Linked DNA regions of Caenorhabditis elegans. The protein of the gene in region 1 interacts with the protein of each later gene in a pairwise test. Each region holds a gene or a part of one and is shown in the gene's direction. Other genes may lie near its edges. The genes, in order: fbxa-171 and Y105C5B.19.

Region 1 (5,539 bases):
GAATGAAATAAAATGTAATGAAGAGATAATAATTGGAGTAATGCTCAACGGTGCGGTCGAGCTGATATAGGTTAAGAATAGTGGGCTATTCCGTAGAAACCTATATCAGAGCACTGTTAAAAAGGTTGTCGAGATTGACCTCGAAGGGCTGAATCGACAACACTAATAGAGAATATACGGTATATATAACAACTGATTGTTCCATTGTAGTAGAACTGCAGCTGTTTCTGTATTAATGTAAGAATTTTTGCTCACCTGGGAATTATTGGTGTAATTTGCATCCCCACATAATTAGTTGGTCCTCCCTAAAAAACTACGCTCTTAATTAGTAACAGTGTTTTTGCATTCAAACACAAAGATTTAAGTGATCATAATGAAGTAGAAAAGGGTTCCCAACTCTGAAATTAACAAAAACTTAATTCACTCTGCTGAAAAATTGCGAAACAACTCACGGAGATTCTGCTTTTTCTTCACATTTTTTCCATTCTCCTACTTCTAAATTTTTTTCAAGCTGATCATCCATTTTTACTAATGTTTAGTTTTTCGGATAATCTGAAAAACGAACTAAGAAAGTCGTTTCTTGCTAAATCAAAAAAATTTAAATTGGAATAAACTATTACAACGAGAAGCATTTTTTCAACGCGCTATGAGAAAACGAGTTGTCACAGCGGTTTTTTTAAAATCAATTTTATTGTTTGCGTTTTTCTGTTTGATTCTCTTTCTTAACACGGGAGATAAAAACGAAGTTGTACGACAAAGAGACTGAAGAATTGCAGAAATTCTTTTTTCATGTTCTCTGAAAAAATGATGATAAGTCGAACGAATGGAGAATGTGCGGCAAATACATACTTTTTAATGAAAAATGCAGGGAAAGTAACTCATAATATTGAATACAATTTTTAGAAAGGAGAAGATCAAAAGCCAAACTACATATGTAAAAACAAATAGACGGAACCACTTTAAAATAGTCTTTCAAAAAATAAATTGAATTGAAATCGAGAAGTAAAACCACGAAAAATACAAAAAGTCTTTACTGATTTGCCGTAGATTTGCCTGATCTTTTTGGGGTAATTTCTTCTCTTCGTATTTATATCCCTATTTGGATTGCGTGTTTTCGCCAAATACACTTGGTTTTTGATCAGAGGAGATAATATCAGTTCGTATACAACAACGCCAAGAGACTAGAGAGACTGAGGAATCAAACCAGAATTAGGTCTACCAAATTAGCAATATCAAAACTGGAACAATGTGACTTGGAAAATTAGACGAATGTGGCTAGCAATATATCACAAAAATGTTTGAAATCTTTTGTTTGTTTCAGAAAATTGTGAGAAATTTTCAAGAACGTCCATTGGGATGAAATATGCGCAAAAATGTAACTAAGATCATATTCTTACCATTTCTTATAACAATCGTCTTCCATTTTTTGGAATTTCCACTCAATGTTTGGGAAATTGGTACACCATTAATATCTGGAAAAATCTCGAAAAAGCTTGCCGGTAGGCCCATATCGCCGAAAATTTGAAAATCCTGAAAAACCCTGAGGATGGAACAGGGTGTTGTAACTATTTGAATGGGCGAGTGTCAAAGAGACGTTGGTAAAACTAATACAAACAAATTTATTTTACAGTTCATCAGCTAGAAATATATGAAGGTGGAGCAAGTAGTTGCACAGAGTTCCATTCCCCTCAGTTTGTTTCCGGATCTGCAAGGACATCTTATTTAGGCCAGTTCAAGAATGCAATTGCTGAAGGACATATAAACCCAACAAAAAAAAATGTTTTATTGCGAAACAACATGCTCGACTGTTCTCCTTTCTCTGACTAACTCTCCAGCAGTGCAAGTGCCCTCTAACTCCAATGTCAATACTGAAGAATTCGGTGAAGATATATTGCTAAGTCTAAAATTTTGATGTAATTTTTTTGCCGCGCGCATCATATCAAAATGACTTCCACCGCTCAAAAACCTTACTCCAAAACCTTCATTCGATCTTGTATTTTCTACGAAGTGCTCCAGAAAAAGACTGTGAATGAAGCCTATGAAACAATTTGCAACACCTTGAAGGAGAAGATTGCCTACAAAGAATTTGAATATTGGTTTCATAGATTTTATAATGGTAATCATGACTTGCAGGACGATAATAGGCAGATTGAAGTACGAAATTCCAATGATCTGCGTTGCTCGATCAATCCACCATCAGACGTTCCACACAAAATTTCCGAAAAAGAGTGGTGCAGGAAGTTCGTCGAATATTTTAATGGGTAAGTGCTAAGCTTCTTTACAGAAAATTTTAATGTTTTTCAGTGAGCCACAAGAACCTTCCCTGCAGAATATGCCGGAAAAAGTTTGGAATGAAATTTGTGCCAAAATGGAACTTTGCGATAGGTGAGATTTTATAAAGAAAGTATGATATTTACCGTGTGGTCATAGACTTCTATACACACCCCATGTAATTCAAAAAAGGTCCTTATGCAAAAATTGTAGCAATAAAGTAGATATGAATTATTCAGATGAGTTTTTCCATCAAAGTATTTTTTTTCATCGTCTTTTTATGAAGTTTTACAACTATAGAAACACCTTGAAATGTCTCCGAAAAAATGAATTTTGGGAAGTTTTCAAAAAACAATTAAAACAAATGTTTGACCAAAAATGTTTTTAACGATTTCTCAAATGGCATAAATTTCATCTAAAAGTCAATATGGTTTCAATCCAAAATTTTTCAAGATTCGTGGCCAGAAAAGTTTCGCGCATTCTCCGTGACAAAATTGACCAACAAGAATTTCATTTTAACGCCATGGGAATATGTTTCGAAAAAGATGAAGCAAGACTATTTTTGAACGAAAGAACCGTCAACTACTGCCCAGTACCAAACGGATGCACAATTATCTACGAGAACAGAAAAATTCAAATCAAAGGAACAGATTATCGGAAAATAGCGCTTCAAGATTTCAATACAGTAGTGACTAAAGACGCACGAACATTTTCCGTACTTTTTGAAGCACAAATGTCTGAGCAAATTCGGGAAAACATTTTCAACGATGTATTGAACGTCTTGAGATCGATGAACAAATTACGAGTCCGAAAACTAGTTTGTGAATTGAAAAACGAAGAAATCGACGCAATCCTGCCGTACTTCGAGCCTAAAACGCTCGAAGTTGTTCACTTTTTTGCCTCTTCTACAGACGGCCATAGCACAAAATTAATGGATACAGTTCAGCTGAAAAATGCAAAAGCTTTAATTTTTGACAGTGACACTTGCTCCATGAACATTGAAAAGTTCTTCCATCTAGCTTATTTTGACGTTACTGTGGATCTTTTCGCAAAAGATGATGCGATTAAAATTCGAGATGTAAGTTTTGAATGGTTCAGGGGTTAGGATTAGGCTTAGACTTAGGTTTAGGTTTAGTCTTAGGGTCAGTTCTAAGCATAATCTTATTCTAAACTCAGGCTTAGGTTTAGGCTCAGGCTTAGGCTTGGCGAGCTGACGCTTGCCAATCTAACGCTCGCCACTGACGGTATTTAGGCTCAAGAATTTCCCGTTTTTTTTTAAAATTTTTGAGAGGGTTCCAGTTGGCCGATCAACGCGAATTTTCACAGAGAGACGTATAGGTCACCAAGAAGCTTAAGTCTGAAGTTTTTGACTTAGGCTCACGCTTGAGAGTAGTATAAGTCCCACACGACACCCCCATCCCACACCAGACCCCCCTATTGACCTCTCCCAAAATGGGGTGTCCATCTATGGATGTCCATTTATGGATGGCCATCGTTTTTTATTGTTCTGTTGTATTGATCTGTTTTTTTTTTCGTTTTTTATGGAACTGTTTTTTATTAGAAAAAAATGTTGTACTGTATGGGAGAAAATCTGAAATTAAAAAAATATTTGAAATCGAGTATGTGGAATAAAATGTTTTCATTTACATTTTTGATATGTTTCATTGTGCACGCCTCCTCTCTATTACTCCGCCCCACTGCACAATCAAAAAACTCATTCTAAAGAAATTTCTTTAATAGTGCACACAGCTTTCGGATGACCTAAGTTTTCTTGCAAGCTCCATATGAAGGGCCAGGAGTTATGACTTTCAGTGTAGGGGCTTGTTGTCGTGAAAGTGTCAACTTGGATAATGATGTTCTAAATTTCTTTAGACTGACTATGAGATTTTCGATTGTGCAGTGGGGCGGAGTAATAGAGAGGAGGGGTGCACAATGAAACATATTAAAAGTGTAAATGAAAACATTTTATTCCACATACTCGATTTCAAATATTTTTTAATTTCAGATTTTCTCCCATACAGTACAACATTTTTTCCTAATAAAAAACAGTTCCATGATAAACGAAAAAAACAGATCAATAAAAAACGATGGCCATCCATAAATGGACATCCATAGATGGACACCCCATTTTGGGAGAGGTCAATAGGGGGGTCTGGTGTGGGATGGGGGTGTCGTGTGGGACTTATACTACTCTTGAGCTTAGGAGTTTAGGCTTAGGCTTAGGCATTTGCTGCAGACTTTACGCTTCAAGTATAAACAATTAACATAGTTTCAGATTTTGATGAAATCCGACACTTTCAAATATGCAAACTTCGAATCCGACGACTTCGATCCAATTGAAATTGCAAATGTATTCGTACCAGGATATCAAAGCAATCAATGGCCGATAATAAATTACACACGACACAACAAAAAATTCCTTTTGAAAATTACTCCTAATTCATTTCAAGTTAAACGGATAATATAATTTTATCGATTCGGATTTTTATAAAATAACTTTTAACTCTTTTATGTTGTAGCAATCATACATATATTTTTCAACAGTACATAAACAATACTGTTCAGCTTGTAATAGATCGAATTTGGACAATATGCTGCTCTGAGCTCCATCCAAACATTTCCTTGATTTGCTTTCGGATCTGAATATCCCAATTACTCCCTACAACCTTCACAAGACTTACAGCTCTACTAAAGCACACCAGAAGCCATGGCTGTAGAAGTGATTTCTGCCAAAGAACGAGGTTCAAGCGCATTCCTGAATTTCTAAAGTTTAACCATAGTCCAAATATCATTGTTTTTTTTATTACTCAATATCATATCTCAAATCATGATTCCCAGTTTGGAATTGATTAAACCAAAACTCAAAAGACTCAAATTCAATGACACCATTCCCAACTTTGTCGCAGAAGTTTCTATATGCCACTGTAAGCATCTTCCCGTGAAGATGCTCATAAAGGATACACGCGCGGATTGCAATTTGACTGTTTGGTATAGTTACAGCCACTTGGAATATTGGTCTTGAAATATTTGTGTTTTAAACTTATTAATTTTCAGAAGATAAGCAGTCAGAAATAATAATTGTTTTAATTGAAACGGAAATTGTGGCTATTTATGTTTTAATGAAGAAACTTCTTCTCACTCTGGAATTATTGGTGTACGATTCACGGGCATCCTTTCCGGTGAACACGACATTCCCTGAATTTTTTTTTGTTCAGCTTTAATGTTTTTCTCTCAAACCAAAATATCATTCAATGAATCATGTTTTTTG
Region 2 (5,171 bases), on another chromosome or scaffold:
TACTTATTCTTGCCGTCTAATTGTGAAATTAAAAAATTTTTAAGGAAAAATAGAAGATAAATTTAAAGTTTCAGTGTGTTTTGGTAGCAATTAATTTTTTAATTTGTTCATGGATTTGTTTTTCATCAAATTATTTTTTTTTCATTTGTTTTTTTAAATTCCCATTTTTAGAAAGCTATCAAATTAAAATTACAAAAATATCATTTTCGTTCAATCATCAATATGTATATGAAAATACCCGTTTGTCCACTTTCTAAAACCGCAATTTTTTTTTGAACGCTCATGAATAAAAAACAACTTCCTAAACTGTTGCTAGATTGATCGAAATGCAGATGGCATTTAAAATATTTGGGAGCGTTTTATTTATATTTCAATTCATTCTTTTGAATAGCAGATAAGGTATCTAATATAACATTTTAAAATACTTATTCTTTAAAATTTTGATTATTTCATAAATTTTACTGATTATGAATTTTATAAAGTTAGAACGGTAGATTAGCGCGTCAAGCGCGCTAGGCTTCGCAGTAGTTTAAGTTCGAAAACTGTGGAAAAGTTTGATAATTTTTGAAGGAAAATGGTTCAATTTTTTTCATTGAATTAAATTACTGTCATATCATTAAATTACTATTGAATAAGTAAACTTTTCTTGAAATCTTATTTCTTACTTGAAACAGTAATTTCAATTCTCGAAACGTAAAAAATTATATGATTTTTCCGTTTTTCCTTCATTTAAAATGATTTTACACCAAAAACAGTTTCATAAAGTTGTTTAATGTGTTCTAGAAATATCAATTATTTTATAAATTTCAAATCACTTTTTTGAGAAAAGAAATCTGAATTTTGTCAGAGATGTTTCAACTGGTTTTCAAAAGAAAAACTTGAGTAACTATTTTTAGTAGATAGATCCTTCGACCTTTCCAGTCGTTTTAACAGTGAAAAAAAAACCCGATAATCAACACATTATTCCACATTACTTGTGGGGTTTCTCAAGAACGCCTAACGCTAACGAAATATGAGCGCCCGACATCTACCGAGTTTCACTCACCTATATGAGATATAAATCAGTGCAGTAAAAGCTAATTTTCAAATATTTCCAATACACGAACAATAATGAAACTAGTCAGTTTTATAATATTAATTTCTGAAAATTTAAGCAGTTTCACAAATTTTTTTTCTTCGAAATTTCGACAAACTTAAAAGCATTATTGAATGATCAAATTTATCTAGTAATTTTAAGTCTACTTGAAACTGTAATTTCAATTCTCGAAATGCAAAACAAATTATAGGATTTCCGCGTTTTTCTTTCATTAAAAATCATTTATAGGGAATTATCTTTGAAAAAATAAACGTTAACAAATGTTCCCGAAACAACAGATTATCAGTCCAATAATATGTCAAGTTGTTCTTGGAGCTATGATTTGCAGTTGAAAAAGTGAAATTATTTTTATTTTCCCCAGCATTTTAAAAAAGTTACATCAATATTAAATACAAACTTGAAACAGTATTTTCAATTAATTAATTTTTTATTTTAATTTTTCTTTTATGCTTAGTTGTTTAAACAGTAGATGTTTTCTCTAACAGTTAACAGTTTTTTTTTAATATTTGCCATCTCTTTGTTGTGGGGCAAACGCTCGAAAAATTCAAAATTCTAATCAAAACCAATCAATAAACACTAAAAACGCTCCAAACCCCCCTCTCGTAAACCAACGTCCGTTGTCCTGAAACGTTCCTTTTCTCTGCGTCTCTCGTCATTTCTCTTACCACCACCTGCGTCTCTCACACTAATTCGGTCTCTCAACTCGCGGCGGGAGGCATTGCGCGCAAACAATGCTTCCCGTGCGGTGACGTTTTCGATTTTATCGGTTTTTATTTTGTGTTGTTTCTTGTTTCTCGTGAATTTTATATTGTTATTCACTAATTTTGAAAATTCGCGGTTTTTTAATTCAAATCTTTTTTTTAATTTAAAAAAAACGAGTGCTAGTCAGAAAGTCCCATTTTGCTTTGACCTTCAAAAAATGTGGGAGCAGCGACGCAGACATATCATCTGATTTTGCATGGTTTAGAGCGTGCTTACGTCACAATTTTTATGAATAAATATTCCCGCATTTTTCGTAGATCAAACCGAATGTGTGTACCTGACACCACGTCGATTATCACTATTGATTTTTTGAATTTTATTTGAACGCTCAAAATCTAAAAAAAATTCAATTTTCAGATGTCCCGCCGAGCTTCAAAAAGACCTGCTCCGTATCCACTCCTATGCGAACAAAAACCGGAAGATCTTCTAGTTGCTCCAGTCGAACATAAGGTTTACCAGGATTTTGAGCCTAAAAGACCCCGAGAATTTTCCCCCGTGATGGCTCAATCCCTTCCACCAGGAGAAATTGACTTCCAACCGAGCAAAATCATCTTCAATGCTCCGTACAATGAAAACCAAGAATCTAAAATCAAATTAATCAATACTTCGGCTCTTCGTATTGCTTATGGAATCAATACATATATGAAAAGACTCAGAGTTGATACGATGTGCACTCCAAATTGTGGAGTACTCGATCCAAGTGAGGAGATTCTTCTAACAATTTCCTGCGATGCTTTTGCATTCGGACAAGTAGATACCACAAATGACCGTATCACTGTCGAATGGACCAATACGTCTGAAGGATCCACCAAGCAGTTCTGTCGTGATTGGTTGGATGGAGATGGGATGGTTCGTCGTAAGACCCTTCCGATAGAGTACAGCTCATCTCCAATTGCTCAAACATCTTCGGCACCCCTTCTTCAGGCCTCTAAGCATGGGATGTGGTTGCCGATTGGATTCGCTGCTTCCGAATTGTACGATTATGCGAAAGGGGAACCATTGGATCGGAAGACTTGTGAGGTAGGTTTTGAGGGGATTATTTCTAGAGCAACTCGTATAGTGTCGGGCGCTGAAGTTCAGACGATTGAAATCTGATAGCAGCCAACATTGCACGGGCCTAGTTAGAATAACGAGTTTGCATGGCGAGACTTGTGAAATGTCGGTTTGCTTGTAGAAACAAAATCTCACCGCGAACTCCTCTAAAACTGCTTTTGCTAGCAGCCGACATTAAAACGAACGAACGGAAGCAGAAGTCGGTGCTTTACAGTATTGTTAAAGAAACTCGCAAAGTGTCGGGAGCTGAAATCCAAGTGCTTGAAATTTGATAGCAGCCGACACCACAATGGCCCAGTTAGAACAATATTGAATGTTGAGACTCGTGAAATGTCGGCTTGTTTATAGGAACAAAATATTACCCGTGGACTCTTTTAAAACTGCTGTTGCTAGCAGCCGACATTTTACGGGCCCACCACGGAATTTGCAGTCTAACTCGTAAGATGTCAGTTGCTTACAGTACATCATTGTAGTCAAGACCTTAGCCCTGCCAAATAAATCTTCAAATTTTTCAGAAAAACCTGGAGAAACTCATCAAAAATGACCGTGATGTTGACTACTACGAATGGCTCAATTTCGCCAAGCGGTGTCGAACACAAAATCAGAATTTGATGGAGGAAATGGCACTTGGAATGGCTTTCACTACGGCGATGGTGAGCAATTTCCAAAAGTTTCGAAAATTAAAAAAAATTCGCTTTCAGGCAAACAAGCAGCACAGGAAGATTTCTCGAAAAGCGGAGAAAATCACGGAACCGATCACAACGAACAAGGCATTCTCAATTGACTCAGCCGAGAAGTTTGACAGAGCTTTGACGTTGCCCAGCAGGAAATGGTTCATGATTTCCGATGTTGTGACGGATGGAGATGTGTCGAATTGGTCGACGGCTAACTTGGTGACTCTTGTGAGAGCTCTGGCGAGAACGGTTTTCGATAAGGTATGCTTAGTGGAGTCTTGCGTAGACTTTATAGAATCTTGCGTAAACTCCAAAAATTTAAGGTTGCCATTGCGGACCCCCATATGATGTGCTACGCAACTTCACAAAACGCTTCTACATATATTCCCATCGCTAGGGACTTTTTCGAAGGGTTTGCTGGTTAGTTTTCCACACGTTTCACCAAAAATTTATAAATTCTTTGAAACAGTAGGAAATTTAATATTAAAAAAACCATGTTCCTCTTCCAGAGTACATACTCGGTGGGTTCGGCGAAGAACAATCGCGAGACCTGAAGTTTCGAGTGAGGAAGCTGGTCACCGACGTTATGGGCAATAAGTTGTGAGTTTTACTGTCTCAGGGCTCAGTACTAAATTTATTTTTCAGAGACCGTGTGAGAGGCCGCCACAACAAAATGTATGGAAACGAAGCAAGTGAAGATGCCACAAGATGGCTCCGAGAGCAACTCCGCAAGGAGGATGGAGAGCTCAAAGAGTTTGTGATTTCATTGAGTTTTATAAAAATCGATAATTTTTTTCAGATCCCGACTAATTTTCCCAAATGGCTCAGAAATGATGTGTAACTATCAGGTAAACGAAGAAAACCCAGAAGGAAGTATAAAATCAGAAATTTTCAATGACGAAGAGGAAGTGGAAATGGAATAATTTGTTTTTGAAATTGTTATATTTTGTTGACTTTTCTATTAACTTATGTATTTCAATTCTGAAAAAAAAACATTTCAGCTGTCTATATAAAAGTTTTTCCAGCGCTCCTCTCATAGTTCTCAAGGTTTCAATAATTTGAAAATTTCAAATTTTTACTGTTTCAATGTGTTGTGAAACATGAGCTAAAATTAAAATGAAATGTTAGTCCCATAGTAAAAAGTTTTTGTTGTGAAATTGCAGTCCCGTGCAATTTTTGGCTCTGTTCGAGATTTTCTACTATATTTCCAGCCACAATTTGTAGAGTCGCATATTACTTAAATATAAATTAAAAAGAATCAATAATAACTGTTTAAAAAATAGTTTTGGGTCAACAGTGAAAATTTTACTGCGCAGAAAACTGTTGCTCACTTCAAATTTGAGCACAAAATCTATAAAAATTGTTTCATGGTGTTCATTTATTGGAACTGTTAGCATCAACATGAATTAAATTTATTGATCTCAGAGATCATCGGCTCAGATGATGTTCAACTCCAACTTTAAAAAGATTTCAGTGCCCTTAAGTACTTTAGCATTTTTTATAGCTCTTTTCACTTTTATAGTTGGAAAAAAAGTTTGAACATATAGTAAATGCGCCATTTTTGCATATAAAGAGTTCGTCAAATT

Evidence for each region.
Region 2: the proteins of fbxa-171 (region 1) and Y105C5B.19 interact in a two-hybrid assay, tested with the Caenorhabditis elegans proteins (one large-scale study listed by BioGRID).

The regions. Positions count from the first base shown.
Region 1 is NC_003283.11:17,562,409-17,567,947, reverse strand, and holds fbxa-171 (F-box domain-containing protein), read left to right. Parts: upstream 1-1,944; coding exon 1,945-2,261; intron 2,262-2,304; coding exon 2,305-2,385; intron 2,386-2,724; coding exon 2,725-3,349; intron 3,350-4,546; coding exon 4,547-4,738; downstream 4,739-5,539.
Region 2 is NC_003282.8:15,981,015-15,986,185, reverse strand, and holds Y105C5B.19 (Major sperm protein), read left to right. Parts: upstream 1-2,215; coding exon 2,216-2,878; intron 2,879-3,426; coding exon 3,427-3,564; intron 3,565-3,612; coding exon 3,613-3,846; intron 3,847-3,908; coding exon 3,909-4,005; exon of another isoform or gene 4,006-4,009; intron 4,010-4,094; coding exon 4,095-4,185; intron 4,186-4,230; coding exon 4,231-4,338; intron 4,339-4,384; coding exon 4,385-4,508; 3' UTR 4,509-4,611; downstream 4,612-5,171.